2 linked regions of the Danio rerio genome follow. The main gene of each other region encodes a partner of the protein of the gene in region 2 in a complex. Links are inferred from orthologs where the notes say so. Each region holds a gene or a part of one and is shown on either strand. Other genes may lie near its edges.

The links. Proteins that work in one complex are often made in the same cells at the same time.
Region 1: the proteins of fuz (region 2) and wdpcp are in contact, whole or in part, in a cryo-EM structure (PDB 7Q3D), measured with the Homo sapiens proteins. The link is inferred for Danio rerio from reciprocal best matches to the Homo sapiens genes FUZ and WDPCP. Residues at the interface, in NP_079405.2 of Homo sapiens: His293, Glu372, Glu373, Pro374, Arg379, Gln397, Pro399, Thr400, His401, Gly402, Ser405, Leu406; in NP_056994.3 of Homo sapiens: Arg55, Ile57, Asn75, Lys78, Leu82, Glu418, Asp419, Arg420, Leu421.

Annotation. Positions count from the first base shown.
Region 1 is NC_133192.1:25,690,968-25,694,625, reverse strand, and holds part of wdpcp (WD repeat-containing and planar cell polarity effector protein fritz homolog), read left to right. Parts: intron 1-659; coding exon 660-848; intron 849-1,800; coding exon 1,801-1,924; intron 1,925-2,259; coding exon 2,260-2,323; intron 2,324-3,658. UniProt on the Homo sapiens protein: Probable effector of the planar cell polarity signaling pathway which regulates the septin cytoskeleton in both ciliogenesis and collective cell movements.
Region 2 is NC_133177.1:3,682,435-3,686,192, reverse strand, and holds the start of fuz (protein fuzzy homolog), read right to left. Parts: upstream 2,672-3,758; 5' UTR 2,591-2,671; intron 1-2,590. UniProt on the Homo sapiens protein: Probable planar cell polarity effector involved in cilium biogenesis. May regulate protein and membrane transport to the cilium.

The sequences.
Region 1 (3,658 bases), on a different chromosome or scaffold from region 2:
AATTTTTGCATGGGAGTTGGTTGCTCTAACAAGGAGGCTAAAGACCATGGCGTCTGCTAGAGCACTTTTTAAGGTCAGAGGAGTGAGGTTTACTTACATAGCACTTCGCTAGCTGGCTTCAGTTACATATGTATTCAAAATTTGTCTAAAAATAGTTATTTATTTTATTTGTCATGAACTGGTAAAAATATAGACATCTGAACTACCAAACAGGAAAAAAAAAACATAATTGTTACCCTCACCGTGGCATCAATGGTACTTTTTTTTTTTAGAGTAACTAATTTATCAGCAACTTCCTCTAATTTCTTCTGTGTGATTATTTTTTTCTTCAAATATTTCTGCTATTATTATAAAGTACTATTTAATGGAAAGGACATATTTTTCAACACAATTTAAATTATAATATATAATATTAAATTTATATATAAGAAATATATAAGAAAAACTGAAATTATTTTTTGCTTTGTTAAATTTTAAAAAAAGAATTAAGATTTCACAGAAGGGCTAATTTTGTGTCCTCTACTATTACTATAGCAGTGTTTGAAAATTTTTTATTGATTTTGGAGAAAGTGAGCAATCGTATGATTGATTTGGGTCTCCAAAAACATGGAGCATTTTAATAATATACTGTAATAGTTATATATGTGTTCTATGTGCAGGTGTGTTTAATGGTGCTCAGCTTGGCCCATGTGATCTGATACTGCACCGTCTGCGCTTTGAGGAGGTAGATGCAGCTCTGGGAATTCTGGGTAATATGGACTGGGCTATTATGGGGGCAGAGTGTTACAGGTCACTCATCTCCATCACCGATCACCTGCTGAGAAAACCACTGGACCAGCAGACTGAAGGTAAAGACCCCAGACCTGCAGGCTTTGATTTCTGAATGGAGACTAAACCTAAACTTAATTAGTGTCAGGGAAAGTGTACAGTAATCTCAGCTTAGAATTAAATACGGTCTTTACTTGTGAAAATAACACCTTTTAAATCACATTATATGATCTGGTTCTGAATGTATTTGGCAAACAGGACAATTCAGCACATTAAAAACCAATGATAAATTATTTTATTTATTGAGAATTTACATTTATGGCCCCCAATAGTATTTTAGTATATCTGTTTTGTTGGTCACTTTTACTTTTTTTGTTAGTTCCCCAAAGGACAAGCTACTGACTATAAGTACATTTTTTAAGTACATTGCAACTTAGGTGATGAGGAGAGGTCCACGAGCTGTGATTGGCGAGTTGCCATTTAGTTTGAGACTTAGTTGTAAACTAAAAGTGGTCATCAAATACAGGTCTAACGATTATAAAAATATTAATTCCAACAACTCTATTGAATTGTAGCAGGCAGCATTATGACTATGGTGAGAAAAACAGGTCTTATTAAATATTTTGTATTTTTCATTGCCACATCTTGTGACTTGATGTGTTATGTTCATTCATATTTAAGCCAAAGTTCATCAGAGATGGTTTCAAGCAAATCTTTTCACTCACTTTTTTGCGATTTGCATGTTTGGTCAACATCGAGTTTATTTTGTAGCGTTCACATTTAATAAACTGAACTGCACTAACAGAGTAAATCCACAAGAGTTTGTTTTAATCAAACCAATCAAGAAACAATCCTGCCAAGTGTGAACACACACTTAAACTCACTGTGACATTACCTGGTGAAAAAATTCACTCAGAAGATTGGAGGAAGATTAGATTTGCAGACTCCACTGTAATATTTTGCATTTTAAGCAATGAAAACTGTTTGCAGCCACCGCTTGTACAAATTTAATACCTTTGTGTGTCATTACAGGCCAGCTGGAAGCAGCTCTGGGGGTGTTTTATGCGCCCTGTAGACCTCTCTCAAACACTGTCATTCTGGAGTACAGGGACCCCATCAGCAGATACGCTCGACGATTCTTCCATCACCTACTCAGGTACACACCTGTTCCATTGTGTTTCTCTTCACTTAAAAAAACTCATTAACAAAATAGTTCACACAGTACTGAAAAAATGTTGGTTATTTAACTCTCACTAAAACCATACAAGATGTAGGCCACTTTTTTTAGTAGAACATTTAAAGAAGATTTTAAGCTGAATTAAACAGCTAAGTGTATCAAAATAACACTTAATGTTTCATGAGGCAAAACACTTCTAAGGTTGACCTACAGACCTCAGATGGCATTAGTGTGAGTTTGGAGTAAACCATCCCTTTAAATGAAAATGAGCAGTTAGTCAGGTGTTCAGAAATGGCTGTATTTCTCTCTTCCAGACACCAGCGCTTTGAAAAAGCCTTCTTGCTGGCTGTAGATATCGGTGCTAGAGATCTGTTCATGGTGAGCACTTTCTTTTATACATGCACATACAATAAACACTAAATGGATTTGGAGATTTAAGCAACACGTTTAAATATAATAAGACCATTGCTTTAGAGTAATTTTCATCAGTCAAATCTTTATATAAAAATGCTCAAAGTTCTCTGTTTGCCGACAAGAACAATGCAAGTAAAGCTAACTTTTAAAACATTAAAGATTTTCCATTTTAAAATCTACATTACTTTTATATAAAATATACTATTACTTAAATATAAACTATAATGTTGTTGTATTTAAACTTTTATTTCAATAATGGTGATTATACATGGCTTTTATGTATTAGATATGTATTAAAGCAATTTACGTATTTAAAAAAGTTCAAAATTGCAGGCAGAGGGCATATTTAAAAAATTAAATTAAATTTATTTAAAAAAATTAATAATTTGTTAAAACAATACTACATATAATCAAAGCATTGACCTATGATGATCAATATTACAAATGTTATATAACTTCAAGTTGAATGAAAAATGTGTTTTAAACTGACTTTAAAGTGAGTTGGCATTGTGCACGATATCAGTGCAGTTACGGGTGGCTTCCGCCTGCAGAGAGCTTTGAGCTGGCTCTGTTATGGGCTGAGAGGCTCTGGGCAGGTGCAGCTCAGGGTTTGAGGCCCCTGGCCATGTCACGTCTCCTCTCTCCTACCATAACAAGAATCCCCGAGACTCCAGAGAGCAACAGTTGCTAAGCGAAAAAGGGAGGGGGTCGGAAGAAAAAGGGAGAGTGAGTGAGCCTGTCTTTCACAGCTCTCGTGGCCGGTGCACTATCTTTTCTCTCCTGCTCCTTTCTCACTCCTTTAAATGGTCCTGTGTGTGTGACCCCTTTTCTAGGCCTCCTCTCTCCATGCCCGAGTGACACCTTCCCTATTAGCGTTCACACCGGCCGCTGTCTCTCTCTTTCTCCCTGTCCTTTTTTCATGCAGTTCCTCTCTCTCCCTCCTTCTTTCACGCCGATCGCACTCGTTCCAATTCATTCCCCACTAAGTGCTGCTGCTGAGGGCCCCAATTGAAAAGGTGGAGCTCGAGCCACACAAGCCTGAAAGGGCAGAGAAGAGAGAGAGGGAGGGAGGGAGAAGGGCAAAGGAAACCTGGATCTGTTATTCTTGGGACATGCACTGGGAAAAGCAAAAAGAGAAAGGATGAGAGAGGCGAAAGTGGCAAATTATGAATGGCCCATGAATATCAGTGCTTCTGAATCAACAAAGAGCAGCCAGCGAGCGAGCAAGTGAGGTAAAGACAGAGAACTAGGGAAAGAGAGAGAGAGAGAAGGAGCTAAAGGCAGTGGCGTTTCACCCTG
Region 2 (3,758 bases):
CACTTCATTTAAATGATCACATCGCATTTTAGAGTTATGATTACGACAAGCATTTGATGTGTTTTCTTTCATAGCGAACACACAGTTGTGCATGAAAATAAATGTTTACAATGTCAGTATAACTACTCTAGCTTATATATTGCTGAATATAATCTGATGATGGCAAATGTCTGATTTTACCAGTGAATTAAATAGTCTAATATGACAGATTGCAAGCATATATCTCAAACATAATAATTCAACGTCAGAATTATTATAAGTAGAATAGAATTATTTATAGACACCAGTAGACCTACACATAATATTATTAGCGATGTTGTGCCATATGTCTGTTTTTACCATTCCTTTATTTTACATCTACAGAATCGTGAGAAAATGGTGATCTTTATTTTAAGCAAAAAAAATCGCGATTCTTATTTTATCCAGAATCGTGCAGCTCTAATTCAGCTTAAAGGCTTAACTAGGTTAAGGGCAACTTAGGGTAATTAGGCAAGTCCCTAGCCCCTTTCACACAGCGATAGTGGTAAATATCCGGAAAATTACCAGAACGACTTTACCGGTAAATTCTAAAAAGCGCTGTTCACACAGGCAAAGACGTTCCGGATTTTTTTGTAAACATAGAAGGGGTTCAAGTTTTTGTTGATGATTTCACATTTACAGGTGAAACCAGAAGTTTACTTACACTTTAAAAAAAAAGTAACATAACCATTTAAAAAAACAATGTCTGATGGTAAATCATACTAAACGTTTACTATTTTAGGTCCGTTAGGATTACCTACATGATTTACATTTGCTAAATGCCAGAATAATGAGAGAAAATTTGTAAAGAATTTTTTTTTATAATTTCTAGACCAGGGATGGGCAAACTTGGTCCTTGAGGGCCGGTGTCCCTGCAGAGTTTTGTTCCAACACTAGTCAAACACACCTGAACAAACTCATCAGTGTCTTCAAGATCACTTGAACTCTACAGGGAGGTCTGTTTGAATAGGGTTGGAGCTAAACTATGCAGGACACTGGCCCTCCAGGATCCTGTTTGCCCACACCTGTTCTAGACAGTCAAAAGTTTACAGTTTCTACAGTTGTGCCTCCAATTAACTCAAATGTTGTCAGCTAGCCAATCAGAAACTCCAAAAACCTTTACACCATCCTTTAAGCTTTTTTAGAGGCATAATAATCGTATTTTATATAATCTTGACTTTCAAAAAAAGTTTCTCAAAAAATATCTCTTATAATTCTGCTATTAAGCAGAACAGAAACAAATATGATAAACCTAACTTACGAAAAGAGAAAAAGATTACTCACATTGACATCTGACTAAAGTGCCTTTTTATACAGTGTATGTAAACTTCTGGTATCAACTGGTTTAAAAAGCCATTTGAGGAAGGGTAAAAAGTGAGTAAAATGTAACTCTGTGGTGAACTATCCCTTTAACTAAAACTTAAGTCAAGGCAAAGTTGGATTTATATTCACATATTTGGACTTTCTCCTTGATAATATAACTTTATAAACTACTCTTGAAAAATCATTAGCAGCCAATGACCAAGAGACAAAGTAACTTACAATAGTGAATTCACAGTTAAATAAATATTGCTAATGTTGTTTTGAAGTCATACTTGCATATTATGTCAGACCGAGTATTCAAAGTACCATGGAAAACATTAGGAGCACGTCAAAAGTTGTCACTGAGCGAATTTGTGAATGTAAAAGAGCAATTCCGTGCAAATGTCAACCTTGCCATGAAAAAAAAATTAAGTTTTTACCAAAATACGGAAAACCATTTCTGTTTTTTTGTGTAGGCAAGTATTTTACAGTACTTTAAAAATACTCAAAAAGCATCTGTTAATGTTTTCAAACTATTACTATTTGATTTACCAAAGTCACACAAATGGTAATTTCACATGCGTCACATCCATAACAGAGAGATGTCACATCCATAACAACACTTTTTCATCAGAAATGTGAAAATATTAAATAAAATAAAACCAATCATTTTTGTTTTATAGAGAGCCGACTCAAATCCTTTTGATTAGCATTATTTCTTTTGGGTTGTGCAGTTTAATTCACATAATTTCTACAAAGTGTGTTGTATACTGTAAACTCGCAGACTTTTTTTTGTCACATCCATAAGGCATGCTTATTTTCCACATTTAAAGTACAAAACACGTTTACAGATTGATATTTTTCTGCTCCCATAACTTTGTGGCTAGTTGCTCTAGAAAATATAATCAAATTTTTCAATAAAATGTTAACATATACTTTCTCTGTCAATTTATGGGTTGAGTTTTTACTGCAAATGTCACATCCATAACGCTGGAATTGCTCAAAACCAACTTTACGTCAGTCTTTAAAGAAAATCACCTCACCCAAACGGGAAAATCTGGTCTTCATGCAAAATGGACGAGCAAACACAACACACGATTCAGAATTACATTTGGCATGCTTCATTATGCAAAACGTTATACAAAACTAATCTGCTAATCCACACTGAGGCATTTTATCGTGTAAATTTAATAAGCGTTCGCTAAAATACGTTGAGTAGGAAATAATAACATAATAACATAATAATAAAAACATTTGTGTCTTGTCTCACCTGAATTATAAAGTTGCAAATGTAGCGTCTCCACAGCAACATCTCTGACAACAACAGCCACAGCGCTTCCTTCTTCTTCGCAACTCGATGAAAGTTTTTGGGTAACAATAAGATCCACTCCGCCATCTTCCGGAGACTTCAAGTGTGTGCAAGGAGAAAAAACTTCATTCATGTTAGTATTTTTCTTGGTTTTATGGCAAGTTTTTTTGTGTTTTTTATGTTATTATTGGTAATGTTTCAATTTATTAAAGGGATAGTTCGCCCAATAATAAAAAGTGTAGTCATGTTTCCTCAACCTCAAGTGGTTTCAAATCCATTTGTGCTTCTGTCATGTTGAACACAGTCCGTGCAATTTTCATCCCAGCTTTCTAATCATTTGTTCTGAACAGAAGAAATCAAACCAGTTTAGATCAAGTGACCCTGCTGAAAAATTCAGCTTAAACCAGCCTAGGCTGGTTGGCTGGTTTTAAAGGGATTTTGGCCATTTCCAGCCTGGTTTTAGCTGGTCAGGCTGGAAAATGACCAGCTAAATCCAGCTAAAACCAACTTGACCAGCCTGGTTTAAGCTGAATATAGCTGGTTTTAACTGGGCTCCTAGCCTGGCTAGGCTGGTCAAGCTGGTCATCTCTCAGCCTGACCAGCTAAGACCAGGTTGGAAATGGCTGGAAACCAACCTGGAAATGGCCAAAACCCCTCTAAAACCAGCCTGGTCGACCAGCTATAACCAGCCAACCAGCCTGGGCTGGTTTAAGCTGTTTTTTTCACTAGGACATTGAGTAAATGATTACAGAATTAAGACATTTGGGTGAACTGTCTCTGCAGACCATTTCAATGTGGTCATGTCATTGGTCAAGAGGCAATTTAATTATAATGTTAAAACAGCCATCATAACCAATATGTGGCTCTTGGATTCTCAGAAGCTAAGTTAAAATGTAAAACAGAAAATACATTAATTGGGACCATTGTTTGTTTACATCTCTCAAAATGGTCTATGGTTCAGGCCGAGTTGCATTCTTTGTGTCTTTATGTTATTATTGGTAATGTTTCGGATCATTTAAAGAGATAGTTCACCCATTACCGAAAATGTACTCACTGTTTACTCGAACTCAAGGGGTTTAAATCAGTTTGAGTTCATTTCTCCAATTGAAAACAGTCCATGAAATTTCCA